Styela clava: one gene and its partner. The protein of the gene in region 1 purifies or fractionates together with the protein of each later gene. This does not show direct contact. Links are inferred from orthologs where the notes say so. Each region holds a gene or a part of one and is shown on either strand. Other genes may lie near its edges. The genes, in order: polypeptide N-acetylgalactosaminyltransferase 16-like and zinc transporter ZIP11-like.

The links.
Region 2: the proteins of polypeptide N-acetylgalactosaminyltransferase 16-like (region 1) and zinc transporter ZIP11-like purify together in Homo sapiens (co-immunoprecipitation; 3 studies listed by BioGRID and IntAct, counting the BioPlex papers as one, with this or other methods). This does not show direct contact. The link is inferred for Styela clava from reciprocal best matches to the Homo sapiens genes GALNT16 and SLC39A11.

The regions. Positions count from the first base shown.
Region 1 is NC_135261.1:13,697,933-13,705,968, forward strand, and holds the start of polypeptide N-acetylgalactosaminyltransferase 16-like, read left to right. Parts: upstream 1-4,955; 5' UTR 4,956-5,219; coding exon 5,220-5,336; intron 5,337-5,928; coding exon 5,929-6,083; intron 6,084-6,727; coding exon 6,728-6,835; intron 6,836-7,386; coding exon 7,387-7,454; intron 7,455-8,036. Other genes in the region: syntaxin-binding protein 4-like, read right to left, coding at 660-718, 908-982, 1,801-2,036; MORN repeat-containing protein 5-like, read right to left, coding at 2,998-3,525. UniProt on the Homo sapiens protein: Catalyzes the initial reaction in O-linked oligosaccharide biosynthesis, the transfer of an N-acetyl-D-galactosamine residue to a serine or threonine residue on the protein receptor.
Region 2 is NC_135255.1:10,457,358-10,465,289, reverse strand, and holds the start of zinc transporter ZIP11-like, read right to left. Parts: upstream 3,177-7,932; 5' UTR 3,087-3,176; coding exon 2,979-3,086; intron 2,664-2,978; coding exon 2,625-2,663; intron 2,398-2,624; coding exon 2,230-2,397; intron 1-2,229. UniProt on the Homo sapiens protein: Zinc importer that regulates cytosolic zinc concentrations either via zinc influx from the extracellular compartment or efflux from intracellular organelles such as Golgi apparatus. May transport copper ions as well.

The DNA of each region.
Region 1 (8,036 bases):
TACTAAAAACAAAAAAGAAGTTGTTTAAAGTGTGTAGACATGAGTATGAGAATTGCTTTGAGCGCCGTGGGGCCACGATTCAGAAGATTGCAAAGGAAATGCAAGAACAACCTAGTCCTTGAATTTCTTGCTTGTTACCTTCTTTCTGTTTCGTTGTTGAAGTAGAAATATTTGAATTACAAATATTTCGTGTTACTAGTATATCCTGTTTCATTTTTATTTTTGTTATTTTGGGTTCCATAAAAAAACGAAAACGAGCACTGATCTAATCCTTCTAAGTAGACTACCGGTACCAAAGTCTTCCCGAATTTGCCTGACTACCTGATAGAAACGAATGTAGAACTGCCACTGGGTGCCATTTTTAATTTTGATGATTTCATTGCAGACAAAAGCACAAACCAAATAAAGTCCACAGAAATTTTTGAAAATAAATAAAAGTGATGGACTTCTAGCGAGAACAACAATCTTTAATTCATGAATATTTTAAAGCCATTGGTCAAGTATTTAAAGGGTAAAGCCATTATAACATAAAACAACATAAAAAAATACCAACAAGAAATCAAGAACATAACAAGGGGGCCACAGAGCTGTTGGACGTGGAGAGCAAATTGTCAAGTTGAAAGACTTTCTATTTGATAATATATATTTGCTAAACCTACCTAACTTGCCCTCTATGTATTTTCTCCTTTTTAATGAGATAAGTTCTGAAAATCTAGATCTGAAATGAAAATTAAGTTGAAAATAAAGACGAAAATTACAAACAAAATGTTTCATTTGTTTATTAGTTAATTCATAGAATAATAATCATTCTACAGAAAAAAATTTCGACAAAAAATGCCACTCAAAATTTTGTCAAACAAGAAAATATCAATAATTCATTTTTTTGTGATTTTAAAAAGACAATTACCTTGCAAGTTTATCCGAGGCATACACAATTTCAACCCTACTGGTTGCAGCCGCTTGTCTCAACAGATCAACAACTCTGGAATGCAATTACAATTTAAGAATTTTTGGGGCTCCCGAAGTATGCGAACCAAGATGGCGGACATCGGAATGTAATATGTGTACTAGGTTAGGGTTAGGACATAATTTTAGGTATAAATACTACGGGAGGCTCTTGGCTAGTCTTCGAACTGATAATAGGACCAAAATAAGGAAAATTGGAAAAAAATTATCGCCTAACTCTAACCTGTTACCCATGTTACGTTCCGATGTCCGCCATCTTGGTTCGCATACTTCGGGAGCACCGAATTTTTTTATGTGTTGTAATATTAATAGCTTGTAGCATGTCTACTCAAAATGCAAAAATTTCATAACAGAGTCAAGGATGATAAAGAGAGCAATGCTCAATTAAATGAACGCAAAAGTCAAATGACTATCACAATTTGAACAAAATTTTACCAAAATGTTTAATAAATAATCAAACAAACGTCATATAAAGATGGGAATCACGAAAAAACAGCAAAATTTGAAAAGAAAAATTGGTTGGAAAAAACAAAAAAAATAGCTAAATTTTCAATATTTTGGGTATTGAAGTTTGATATCGACAGGTTAATTACTGGTAGTTGCACACAGAAGTGATTTTTCATAAATCCAACAAGCATCCAAACAATAAAAAATAACAACAATTTAGCAAAACATCCATAGGTTCGATACAGAAGAAATACCGATCTTCAATCTCACAGTCCACTCCGTGTCCAATAAGCCAAGTGAAGAAGTCAAATGTCATCATTAATGTTAATTTTGTAGGCCCTAAGCAGGAAACCTGTTTGAGATCTTGGAGAAGAAACCTTTGTTTACCTGTAATTGCTCAATCCTGTCACATTACTGTCATTGATTTGGATTATTTCGTCACCAACTCTGATATTACCATGTTGTGAAACTGCTCCACCGTGGAGAACTTTTCTGACAAAGATACCAATATCTTCCCCATTATCCTTTTGAAGTCCACCAGTTATTTTAATACCAAGTCCAATTTTTGTATCACTTATAATTATTTTATGGAATTCTCTATTTTGTTCATTATTTTGAGTCATTTCGAGAATACATTTGAGTACTTATATTACCTGAAAATATAAAAACAGTTCAAAATAAAAAAATTCATAAAAGTATATAATCGTATGCTTATTCATGAAAAGGCTCTGATATATAAAAATAGAAATTTGGTTGGTCGTTTGCTTCAAACAAGGCTCTGCACAAGCAGCCACTACTAGGTAAGTAAATAGTAAATATAGCTTAGAAGGACCAGAATTTATATAGTACAGCATTGTCTACCAAATTTATTACGCTCTAGGTGAAATGACCAAGGAATGACAAAAAAATTGAGTAAAAAAAATTACCTCTTCTCAGATAAATCGGAATTATTCATTTTAATTTGTTTTCTCGTATCTGAAATTAAAATGTAGTAACTAGTAATCCTTTTTCACACAATTCTCATGGAGGTTTGCATATGAAATGGAAAAAAAATTTGGTATGGTGTTTCAGAAGTTTTTGATAAATCATATCAGTAGCACTATGATACAGTGAAAACCACAATTTGAAGAAAATTTAAAAAAGAAATTTTAGATAGATGATAATTTGATAAATAGGAGTATACAAGGCCATTAAAGCTGTATATTTCCAATCAGGAAAATTTTTACTAATCGAATGCTTTTTACCAATGAAAAGAAAACAGAGAATTTAATAGTTTTGCTGTAGAACTACCATTTAAAATCATTTTTTGTATAATCTGCTTTATGATAACTTTTGATAAAGAAACTAAAATGATATGAGTTCGAAATAGATATGCAATAGCAAGTCATTCCCATTGCAAATCAAAATTAATACATACAATCTGCTACCTCATAAATACAATACAATTAAAAAACTACTCAGTATTAATAAGTAAGATAACATTTTTGCATGCCAATTTCTTTGGAAAACAAATACACACGCAACAGGTATTACGACTATAACTTCAACTTATAGCTGAAGAATTGTGCAGTAACTTTTTGATGTTTAAGCTTCAGTTTTCCCTTTATACCCAACAATTTCATCCCATCCTTTACGACATTCCTTTACAATCCATTCATGCTCGTCATCATCGGCATTTCGTAGAAATTTTTGATTATAGTCAGTAACAATTCTTGTTGAAGGATTGTAAAAACCATCTCCACAATCATAATGGTTTTCTGGAATTCTTCTTGGGGGAATTCTGTTCGTAAGTTGTGAACGACCAGCGGGCTTCAATCCGTGGCATATTTCCGTATAAAATCTCCTATCATATCCATCACAATATTCCCAATCTTCCTCGCTATTATATTCTAATCCATCAGCAAAAGTGTATTTTCCAGATACGACTCGACCATTTTTCCATTCACCTTCATATTTACTCTTATTAGGAAAAAATAAAGTTCCTTTGCCATGAAAAGTACCATCCTTCAGATCTCCAACATATTGAGTTTCGGTGGGAAATTGATATTTTCCATGTCCCTCTAGCCTTCCATTATGCCAGTCCCCATCATATTGACTACCAGTGTATTCCATTTCATTAAGTCAGAATAAAATCAAAGATTTCTTGATGAATACAAAAACACAGGGGAATTTAAGCTGTGAATAAAATCTGAACAAATGATTATAATAAGTCACAAACAACACGTTTAAAAAAACTAAAACAGAAATGAACATTGGCAGATTGGATGAATAGCAGAAAGTTTTGTGAAGCTTGTTTAACTCAATAGTTCAGATAAATTCAGACATTAGAACAGCAGTATTCAAACATAGTTCAGCGACGCTTTAGGGTTCTGCCAGAGTGCCAGTACAGTCGAGATGTTCCACAAGTTTACATTCAAATACGATAGTCTACCGTGAATGAATATATGTATATTATTTAAATATAATAAAATTCCATTATTCTGGAGTAAACAATAAAACTGGACTCTACAACTGACCTCTAAATAGAGGTTTAATAAAAATTTATTGATATTATTACAAAAAGAATTTTTGTTGTGGAATGATCAATGGCAACATAAAATAATTCTTTATGCAAACATGAAACTGTAAAAAAGTATTTTGAAAAAAAATATGTCATATAGGTCTGTTTAAAATAATCTCAAGTGTTACTATACTTTTTGTACTTTTGTTGAATTGCATTGTTCGTTGTAATTGTTACCATTTTCAGACTTGGTCAGCTAATTAAAAGACTCCACATACATTTATGAAGGTGTTGATTATGAAAAAAAAAATTTAATTCCTAAATATACGATTTGAAGTATATTTCAAGTTGATATTTTTATAGTTAACTTATATATTTGAAACATAAAAGTATATAGTCAGTGAACTTGTGAATGTTTATTTGACTGTAAGATCAGAAGATGTTGAATTTGACATAATTTTAATGGCTCTACCTCAGTACGGTAGCATTTGGCAACTACTGAACTAAGTTACGCTATGTCATCTGATTTATGAAAAGGGATCTCCTAATAATAAGGTCAAACTTCGTCATTTTTAATTTGTTTGTATTGTCATATTTTAAAGTTTTCAAAATAAACTATCTATCTATACAAAAATCCACCCCAAATTATTTTTCTATTATCTGATGCTGAATATCTTATTACACCTAGAGTAGATAAAAAAAAAAAAGAACAGAGCTGCATGACATAAATTATGAATAACTTATATACACCTAACCCTGACCAGAAAACAGTTGTTGTCATTAGCGACAACGCGAACTCTGCATGGCTCCGCAGCGGCAGCTACCGTGTACAGGAGAGATAGCGAAAATATTGAAACATTCTCCCTTTCTCTCTCTATATATATATATATATATATATATTTATACATAAAGAGAGAGAGAACGAAATACTGTGAAATGTTGGAGGAATATACTACAGTGTGTTCTGATTCTATTTTATTGAACGACTAACATACCGGTTTCCAGTGAATTGTGCTATAATATATGTCGCCAGACACACGCGGCGGTGATCTTGCTGCATTCACAAGTCAATTTTTTCATGTGGTTGCAGGTGTCGCGAAAATTAATTGGCGACGTTATGAACTTTGCCGTCGGCGTTGTCTGGTGATGATTTATAGCGACGACATCAAATACAGAAATAGAACGACTGGTTTAAGAATTGTACTTTAACGTAGAGTAAACATAGATTTTTAACATCGTGGAATTGCAATATTGGAAAATTCTGAAATGACTTGATGATGCAATATCGGATTTGGGAACTGCAAACATGAAGCCCTTCTCTTTGCGAACTTTTAAAATAGGCATAGTCGTTGCTCTCTTTTGTTGGACAATAATTAGTTGTTTTTCTTGGACAAAAAGGGGAAAATTCTTTGCTAAGAGTGAGGTTTGTACACATTTTATCATTGCAGATGACTCAAAATACGTGAAAAGTATTGTAGACCTGATGACGGTGCGATCCGTCCGTCACGACTCCTGTCGTTTCTATATTCAGATATTATTCAGAAACTTTAATGTTGGATCTTTTTGACTGCTGAAGTGATAAATAAAATAACTCTGACTACTACAGCACTAGATTATTGCAGTATTGTATAATTTACATTAATGTTTGCTACAATGTTTATCAGCGGCTAATTAAATTCTATATTTATGACCACTACTATCCAGACTATCTGACTATTGGGAAAAATTTTATGATTTGCAAAAATGACACTGTCTTTCTGTAGCCTGATATTCCCCTTAATACTGAAAAACAATAATAAAATTGCTGCAGTATAGTGAGATAGTAGTAACAAGATTCTGAGATTGGTTTTGCCAATGAAAGCAAATGTCAGCATTAGGGCTGTAGGGTCAGCAAAGAATTATGTGCAATGTAATTAAATTGATACAATAAATTTCATAATTTTATATAGTTTTGATGCCGATGTCCTTACTTCCCAATTTCTGACATAATTAGTTCAATATTGTTGTTATTCCAGGAAAAAGTAAAGTTGAATACAGAATTCAATTTTGAAAGATACATTGCCCAGCAAAAATTTAAATCAGAAGATCCTTATATAAGAAATTCATTTAATCAAAAACGAAGTGATGAAATACGCACAGATAGAGATTTACCTGATTCACGGAATCGACAGTAAGCATTACTTTTTTATACATTGGTAGTTTTAACTGCATTGCCTAGGCTTTATTATTGGAAAAGAGGTAATATTGTTTGCGGATGTTAATTAACATAACATTTTTTGATAAGTACCAAGTTTAAACTTTGCGTATATTCCATTGTTTAGAAATTTTCATTTCTTCATTTTTATTTTTTTCTATTTTATGGCAGCAAACAAATTGTCTCTGAATATCCCCCGACCCCCAACCATTTTTGTTTTAATGAATTTTTTCACATAAATCTCGTTTTTTCCTGGCATCACCAGCTATTGTTTCACATTCGTTTTTCTGCATGTTTTTAAATTATCAATATATTTAGGCTTGACTTTTTCATGTTTTATTCGATTTTGGAACGATGAAGCATTTTGCTATAAGGTGACCTATTTAAGCCTCCGCTGAACTTAAACTTGAGTTTGAATACTTATTGAAATAACCACTAGTTATAAGGTACAATAGTATTATAATTCTCCTAATTTTAAATCAATTAATAAATGGAGTCGAAAGAATGAAAAAAAAATTCAAAAACTTATAACAAGTTTGACAATGCATTTACTCTGTTGTAATTGAATGTACTTGCATTGTATAAAAACACTTCGACACAAAGTCTGTATTTTACTCTAGATGTCTCAACCACCAATATAACCTCAAAATACTTCAGAAAAAGAAAACTTCGGTTATAATCACTTTTCACAATGAAGCGAGATCTACTCTTCTGAGAACTGTGGTTAGGTATGGTGTATTTACATTTTTGAAAGAAATTATCATTCTTTTATTAACTTTAACCACCCAAAGCCTAATGAGGTTAAGTTAAATAAAAACCTTCCAAAAATTCAGTCAATTTGTCATTTTGGTTCTTGAGAAGTCATATTTAACATTAATATTTTCATACAAATTGAATCAATTTAGTGGTAATAATTATTTTTTGAATCTCTGTTACGCATCGCATAAATAAAATGGAGACTCTGAAAAAGCGAGCAAAACTTCTATCAAAGTCTCATAAAATTTTGTGAGGTAGATTACGCTAACTTAGCTGAAAATTCTATAAATTATTGTTGATAACTTGATATTACAATATCATAAATTTTACTTTTTGATCTTTTTAATTGTTCACAAATAAGTCTTTTTGTGCCATTTATCAAATGTAAATATCACACGCAAATAAATAATCCTATTTTACAGTTGATATGAGGTTTGCAATTTGCTTTTTTTGGGCCCATTTGGCAAATATTTTCATTCAATTACGAAATTATTCCTTTATTGACAATAACATTGTTTTTTAGTGTACTAACAAGAAGTCCGGAAGAACTAATAAAAGAAGTTATATTGGTTGATGATTTCAGTGATGATCGTGAGTGTTATCTTTTTATTATTTTTTCGGAGGGCGTATACTCTTAGAAGAAAAAGTTAAAATTTATTTTGTTTTTTTTCTTGTTAAACTTTTAATAATTATAACTTCACATGAATGTAATTTTTTATTTGTCTTCCATATTCGATGGGTATTTTCTAAATCTATGTATGGTCTTGTCTACTTCTACGAAATATAAATATCATACATGATAATATGTTTAGTGCGGGGTGGTCATAAATTCCTATTACAATTTATAATTTCATTATGAAGTCAATTCCCAATATTTCTCAACCGGCTTTGTTACTTATCGATTTTAATCGGTAAGTATGTTGATAGGTATTTGTCTGTCTGTCTGTCTGTTAGATGCACGCGATATCTCACGAAAGCGAGATTGAATCTGCTCCAAATTTTGCATGTGCATTCATCATATGTCGGACCAGAAGCCTATTGATTTTGGATGAATTATGTCGTATAATTAGCGAGTTATTAATTAATTAGTGATGGGACACAAGGTGTCACTATGGAGTAAGAGCGCTTTTTTGGGGGATCCCCCAGGGATGGCCAATACCGAATAGTTCACTA
Region 2 (7,932 bases), on another chromosome or scaffold:
TAACTTTTTCAATAAATGTTCATATTACTTTTGCGTCTTTATTATAAGTCGGGTTTTCATTTATTTTAAATTCGAAATTGTCCAAATACTCCAACAGGTTTAATACACACAATGTGTTAAGGGCGTCGTAACTCCCGTTTATTAATTATAATTTTTTTTACATTCTGCTCAAAAAACAACGTCGTTTTGCAGTCAGCTAACGTAACTCTCGCGACCAAATCTTTTTTGTATGGCATCGTCTTGGCGACGAATTTATTGCCGACTGAATTTCAATTGTGTTTTAGGATAAGTTATTTTCTGTTTGTTGGTTTCTAAACTTTACAAACTTGGGTAGCAATTACTATTAATGTGAGATTGGTGCATATGAACGATTGAATATCGCGACTGGATGTCCGATATCTGAGAATGCGTACTTCTCTTTCAACATTAATTTTCAGGATATCAGCGTTCATGTGGTCGAATAAAAATTATTTATCAAATGGATTGGTATTTAGAGACACTCTCAAAATTATTTGGGATCCACTATCATATCATTCTTATTTTTTATATTCACGTTTTTTTCAAGAATCACCCTCGTTATATTTAGTGTACCTCCGCAAAAGAAAACTCTTTGGTGTCATCGTTCCTATTAGTGTAATTACTAATTGAAATATATGGAAATCTCGCAAGTGGCGTTGTGATGCGAATATTTGATACTAGGTCAGCAGCATTACAAAGAGTGTTATTTATGAATGCTGAAAGTACATGGCATTACTAAACATTTTGCCAATATATGATGTTTTCTGCCCGATTTAAACTAACTCGCACCCAAACCAAGGCATGTCGACATTTAAAAATTACTTGTCTTTGGGTAAGCTCTGAAATAGTATAATATAAATGTAAATGAGAAATTAGGTCACGCTAGCTCACGAAACGGGAGGATTTTCAAAGTGATCTTGTGTAATATTTCGGAGAAAAAAGTTTGAAAGGAAAGTAGGTCAACCTATCTCCTAAAACAGGGAAGTATCCTGCGTAATATTTCGGAGGGAACATAGGTTAACCTATCTTTCAAAACAGCGGGTGGCGACTTTCAAAGTGGTTCAAAATCACAAATTAATAATTATCAGATTGGGTTTAGGGATAAATCGAAAAGTTGAATTTCCAGCGCACCTAACCCTTGATATTGATTGATATTTATATTTGGGGGGGGATTATTGTGCACGGGATTTGTACAAAGGATCTACCCTGTAACTAATATGGTTTCCAGCCTGCCTCGTGTCTGTTAGATGGAAGGAGTAACAAATGTGAAGGCCTTTGCTGTTCACGCGAGTAAGCAACTGACACCGTGATACATTGCATGAAAGTTTTTTCCGCGGCAGGTGTTAGCAGATGTCCTTTCGTTGCCGATGAATTTGCTTGTTTTAATTAAACATGAATTCGCTTAAAGGGAACTCAGTTAACGGAAAGGCTTCTCTTTAATTCATAATATTAACCGGAGGAGTGCTTTTTCGAGTATCTATGCCGTTTTAAATGGGTTATATGAAAGGCTAAGGGCACCTAACTTGTTAAAATCGGCAAAAGCACTTTCGCACTTTTTTTTTCGACTGCGAAGCACTTTCGCACTCATAATTTGCTTAGAGTTAACACTGATTCCCGGCCTTGTGCACTAAAACAATACATTAAAAAATCAATGCGCGGTATGGTGAAAAACATTAAAACGAACAAAAGTATATGATGGTGCACTTGTTTCGTTGTAAACAAGCATAACTTCATAAACTGCCTCCTATACCAACAAACATACAAAAAGGCAGTGTCAGCTACACCTCTGCAGTTAGTTAACTTGTATAGGCAGCAATTGAACTCTCTTCGTGATATTACAGTCACACAGCTCTGTGACAACACAATGGGGCAGCACAATCGAAACAGTAAGTGATGAATCAGTGTCTCCAGCAGTGATTGCGAAGCAGCAAAGGGCGTCAAATGTGTATTTGCAAATTTAAGCACTGAATTTTTGTGTTATCAAGCTATATAACATGTTTCTGTCGCAGGCCCTCCGAAAGTGCTTCGCGGACCCCACTTTGGAAACCACTGCTTTAGCACATAATTATTCCTCACATTCAACATGATGCATCAATCGCAGAACCTTTTAAATTTTTTATTGATATCTTCACTCAGCATTCCCTAATTTTAAAGAAATTGTTCAGCTACACTTTCAGTAAGCTTAATAATCTAAAACATGTTAATACTTACCAAGAAAGGCATTAAAATATCCGCAGCATAGACAAATAGTGCACCAGCAGCAAATCCAACCGCCACAGGGATAAAAGCATATTCGCCTTCTTTTCCATAATTACCAGATAATACTGCCATTTCAATTGCAGGAGCAAGTAATGACCAGTATGATGCCGCAATCATTACCTGATAAAGAATAAAAGTCAAAATATCTGTGAGCATTACAAAAATCAGATAATAAAAAGATGAAAGCTATTTATGGGGGTGAAATTGAGTTGTAACACCCGAGTTTTGGGAGTTGCACCCAACCTCATTCAGTCATTGTGTAAGAGGTAGAATTAGACTAAAATTAATTTTGAATATATTGTAAAAATAAGTTTTCTTCTGCAAACAACAATAATTTAAAACCTTACCCCAGCAGCAAATCCAAGGCTTCCATCTAAAACTTTCCGCTAAAAATAGAATAGATTCAGTTAGTATAAAAATTAAAAAGATCTTTTCAGGCAATCAATTCTGAATTGCTTCCCATAGACATAGATGAAAACTTTTGTCATTATAATTTATGAAGATAATGGTACCAACTACTGAACTACAAGTATTATTATGGGCAGCAAACATCATATCGCATCAGGACTTGTGCCTTAGATTAGTTTTCCAGTTGAATTTCTGGACCTGAATGGAGTAAACAGAAAACAAATAGTACCGGTAGTCTACCGTACTCTACAGCTTATGATTCAGAATATTGAAAAAAAAATCTTTAAACTTACTTTTCCAGATTTGAATACAAATACAAGACTAGCACCAGCTGCAGTCAATCCCCATGTAAACAAAGTTCCGAGTAGAGCTTGCTGGACAGGTCCATAAGATGAAATCATTGTTTGACTATGCTAAATATAAGCTCACTGGTAAAAAGTGTCCAGATGTAAGTTAGCGCTGTGATGTCTGGATGTAGGATAGGATTTACATATTTATTACTATTAGACTATTAGATTTGTATCTCGTGATATCAACATGATCAAGGCCCATCCACCGGAATTAAAGAAGTTTATGGATAAAAGATTGGATTTAAAGTTTGTGTTTGGCAGTCGTCGGCTGCGGTCGCATTTTTGAACGGCGCAGAAAGATTAGATTGACAACAATGAACCAGCACTTAAGGAATATCAACAAGTAAAGGCCGAAATATGAAATTACATGGCAGCATAAAGGCAACATACGGACATCATAACAGAATCGAAAGATGAAATACTGAGTATTCAACTATATATGTGTAAATAGTTTGCAGTGTAACTTACAGTGTAACATTTTTAAACATTCATTTAGTGGCATATTTTTGATTTGTTCTCTCTGTGTGTATACCGGTACTGTTTTAACAATGTTGGCCACGTCAATGTATCAATTAGGCTACATACCTGCTCACGTGTGATTAGTGTTTTTCCTAATAATTGCTTTTACGAGTGTCCGCACACCGAATTTGCCGCCATGGTTTTGCGTTTGTTTGTATATTAAACCACTTATCACCTTTTCCGCAATGCCCAATCTAGCAATCAGTGTAGTTTTTCATGGCTTGGTTTTTCTTAAAGCTTTCCTGGCTTCATGAGTATGACTATCGTCGCAAATTTATTACATTCCACTCCCCACATTATCTTTGCATGAGGTTGTAGGTATTGGTCATTATCAACGTAATTGTTGAAAGAGAGTACAACAGCCCGAAAGTTTATTACTATCGTGTATTTTGTTTTTTAAGTTTGGCCCAAGCCTCATTTAATTGGGCTTGTGTTTTTGTGTGCGTGCTGGTGGGCAGGCACATGAGATACCTCATGTTTTAAACTTTCTTGTAGGTTTTGCTTGCCCTCCAGAATTCTCCATTTTAAATTTAGGTTTGTTATGGAGTTTTCGAAATAAACTATCTATCTATCTTATCCCTGCATTGCAGCATTGAGCCTAATTGCAAAAACTTTTGGGAAATAATATAGAACACTTGGCTTTATGACATAGGCTGAATACCGTATCCTAATACTGTAATACCAGTACCGTAATGCAGCGGTAACATGTCGTACCGGTACACAACAACACAAGCTTGTATACCGTACCGGTACCGGTACTTCTCTGACTGTACCGTATACCAGGCAGTTATAATGTGAAGTTCTGCCAACCAATCGCCGGAAAACGTGTTGTGTAACTCGACGAAACCGACACGTACCTACAGCAGCGGAAATGCAAACCACAACTAATACCGTACACGTTGCAATAGAAATACAATGAAAAAAAAAATAACTCATTTGACAGCTCGCCGACTTGAGAACTTCGGCTACCCACAGCGAATCCGAATTCCGAATACGTAGATTTTTGTTGAGACATGACGTCATAACAACTCATGCATGCTTGGCGATGAACGTTTCCCCGACCCTTGACCCTTCAAGAATTCTTCCTTTAAATATTTTCACAAAAATTTCGAAGTGTTTCAGAGAGTTAGAGCATGTAAACTGGTGGGTATAGTTTTTAAAAATACAAATTTTGTTTGACTTCCGCGCAAACGTACTGCAAATCAATTAATGTACGTACTTAATGTACTGCAAATTAATTAATGTGCAATAGTGATATAGACAAATTTGCTGATTGTTCAGAATCTCTAATAGTTTAAACCTCGTGTAAGCAATAAATTACTACAAGACGAAATATATTTTGGGCTATCGTGATTTAATTTGACCCAGCCTTGTCAAAATTTATTTAATATCACATATCTCCTTCAACTCAGTCATATTTGTCTATTTCTAAATTATTTGTGAAGGGTTGCAATGCCAATCTGATTATTTCCCATTGTAGTGTCCCGCCTCTATCTTCAATGTTATCTATCTTGCTAAGCTTTCCCCAAGGCAACACACGATATTTGCACACACAATAAGAGGCTTTTACTGCTACAATTCAGTATGCACAAAAGTAACTGATACAACTTAATAAACAGCGAATAACACCATACAATAGAACCAGCACCAGCCACGCCGTCAATGTCCTTCTGCTCCCCTTGGCATGTATCCTTGCGCATTTATATCGCAGGACTAAATCAATCATGCAATTCATGACCATCGGACCATGAACACTACATCCCTCCTTTTGTTACGAGTAGATGGTAGACTTATTTCATTACAAAGTCTTTAAATCTGGAAGGCAGTTTTCGTTCGCCTTGGACGCTCATAAGGCTGAGTAATTGGTTCCTCCAAACTTGGCCTGGTCGCGTCTGGAGCAATTCGCGACTCTTTGGCATTATTGTCAATTTTATTTTGGGTGTCTTCTTCGTATTTCTTTACAAATGTTGAATTGCGACGAAATTCTTTTCCCTTTTCATCTCTGACTGTGACTTCCCCTCCTTCCTTCTTGACAATTTCACACGGATATTTATTGAAGTTTGTCGACATCTTGTCAACTTTCTCTTGCTTAACGAGCACCGAATCTCCGACCTCAACATCTTGTAAAATTGATCTTCTGTTGTAATCTGAGTAAAATTTCCCTTGTAGCTTGTTTCTCCAGTCTCTGTCTCTGTGTTCTTCGCCGATTATGTTGTATTTTGGTCTGATTTCTGGAAGCTTTGTTCTCATCTTTCGACCAAACATCAAATAATATGGCGATACTCCTGTCGTTGTATGCGGTGTAGACCTGTATGCAAGCAGAAATTTGTTTAATTCCGATTTCCAATCTTTACCTTCTACTTGGGCTATTCGTATGGCTTTCATTAAACTTCGGTTTTGTCTCTCCACCTCGCCGTTCGCTTGTGGCCACAATGGAGTAGTAGATTTATGTTGAACTCCATGTTCGTCTAAAAATGATTTGAATTCATTAGATACAAGCTGTGGTGCATTGTCAGTTCTTAACGTAAGTGGAATTCCGTAACGTGAAAATATGGTGCTCAACGCTTCAATTATTTTCTTACTTGTTGTCGACCGCACAATTACAATTTCATAAAAACGACTGTAGTAATCTACAATTACCAGTATGTTATCACCAGAAGGCAAAGGTCCTAAAACATCGGCACAACAATCTATCCAAGGTCCACTGGGTGGTCGTGTTCGCGTCATTGGTTCGGGCGGACTATACGAACTTGTTACCTGACATCCATGACATACTTTACATTTTCGTTCAGCATCACGATCAATGTTTGGCCACCACACTTTACTTCGAAGTCGATTTTTCGTCTTCACAATTCCTTGGTGTCCTTCATGTGCAAGCTCTAGAACACGTTTTCTGAGTATCTGTGGAATTACAATTCTCGTACCACGTAAAATTAATTGACCATAAATACAAAGTTCATTCTTCACATGCAAAAATGAATTACCACACTTTGACCAATTCTGTGATTTAATGCAATCTCTCACAATTTGCAATTCAGGGTCTTTAGCAGATGCCTGCTCAATTTCATGTGGCGTCAAAGCAATCGGGCAACTACTTTGTACAACCATTCGTTTGAAGAAATCATATTCCGCTGTTGTATCACGCTGGTCAGGCGCATTAAGACGAGATAATACATCAGCAATATTATTCTTACCCGGTCGGTATATTACCTTGAAGTCATACGCTTGCAATCGCAATACCCATCGTTCAATCCTTGCTGAGGGCTTTGAAGTTTTAGAGTATATGCATTCCAAAGGTTTGTGATCGGTTTCAAGTTCAAATTTCCTGCCAAAAATATACAAGTTAAATCTCTCACATGCCCACACTAGAGCTAATGCTTCTTTTTCCGTCTGGCTATATCGTCTTTCTACGTCTGACATTGTCCTCGAAGCATACGAAATTACTCTCCAAATTCCGTCTTGCAATTGGGTTAAAGCGGATCCTAGTCCTGTCGGTGAAGCATCTGCAATTATTCTTGTCCTGCAGTCAGATCTGAAATAAGCTAATGTGTTTGCATTAGTTAATGAACGTTTCAATCTTTCGAATGAATTTTAACATTGCTTATCCCAATCAAATTTAGAATTTTTCTGAGTCAATGCACGTAAAGGCGCTGCAATCGAAGAAAGGTTTGGTATAAACTTTGCACAATATTGAACAAGACCCATAAAAGATTTCACTTCTCTGGTATCTTTTGGTCGTCGTGCATTTCTTACTGCCGCCACCTTTTCCTCACAAGGATCAATACCTTGACTTGTGAGCTTATGACCAAATAACTTGATCACAGGAAGTCGAAATTGACATTTCATACCATTCAGCGTTAGACCGGCTTTGTCCAACTTATCAAGAACATCAAATAATCTTTCATCATGTTCCTTCACATTCCGCCCATGGATAATGATATCGTCCGCTATGTTTGCGACACCCCGACAGTTCCTCACAACGTCTCTGATTATTTGCTGATACTTTTCTGGTGCAGATGATAAACCAAACATTAGTCTTTTGTATCTAAAAATTCCATTATTAGTTACGAACGTTGTGATATATCGGCATTTCTCATCAAGCAATATTTGATGAAACCCCCATTTCAGATCTAACTTCGAAAATACGGCACGTCCGCTCAAGTCGTGGAGTAAGTCTTCAACAGTCGGTATAGGTTGCCTTTCACGGAGTATGGCTTGGTTAGCTCGGCGCATGTCAACACAAATTCTAATATCTCCATCCTTTTTATGATCTACAGTTAAAGGCGAAATCCGGGTACTTGGACCTTCAGGCGCTTTTTCGATTATGTCTGCTTTCAGCATTTCATCTATTTTTGCATCTACTTTGTCTCGCAACGCA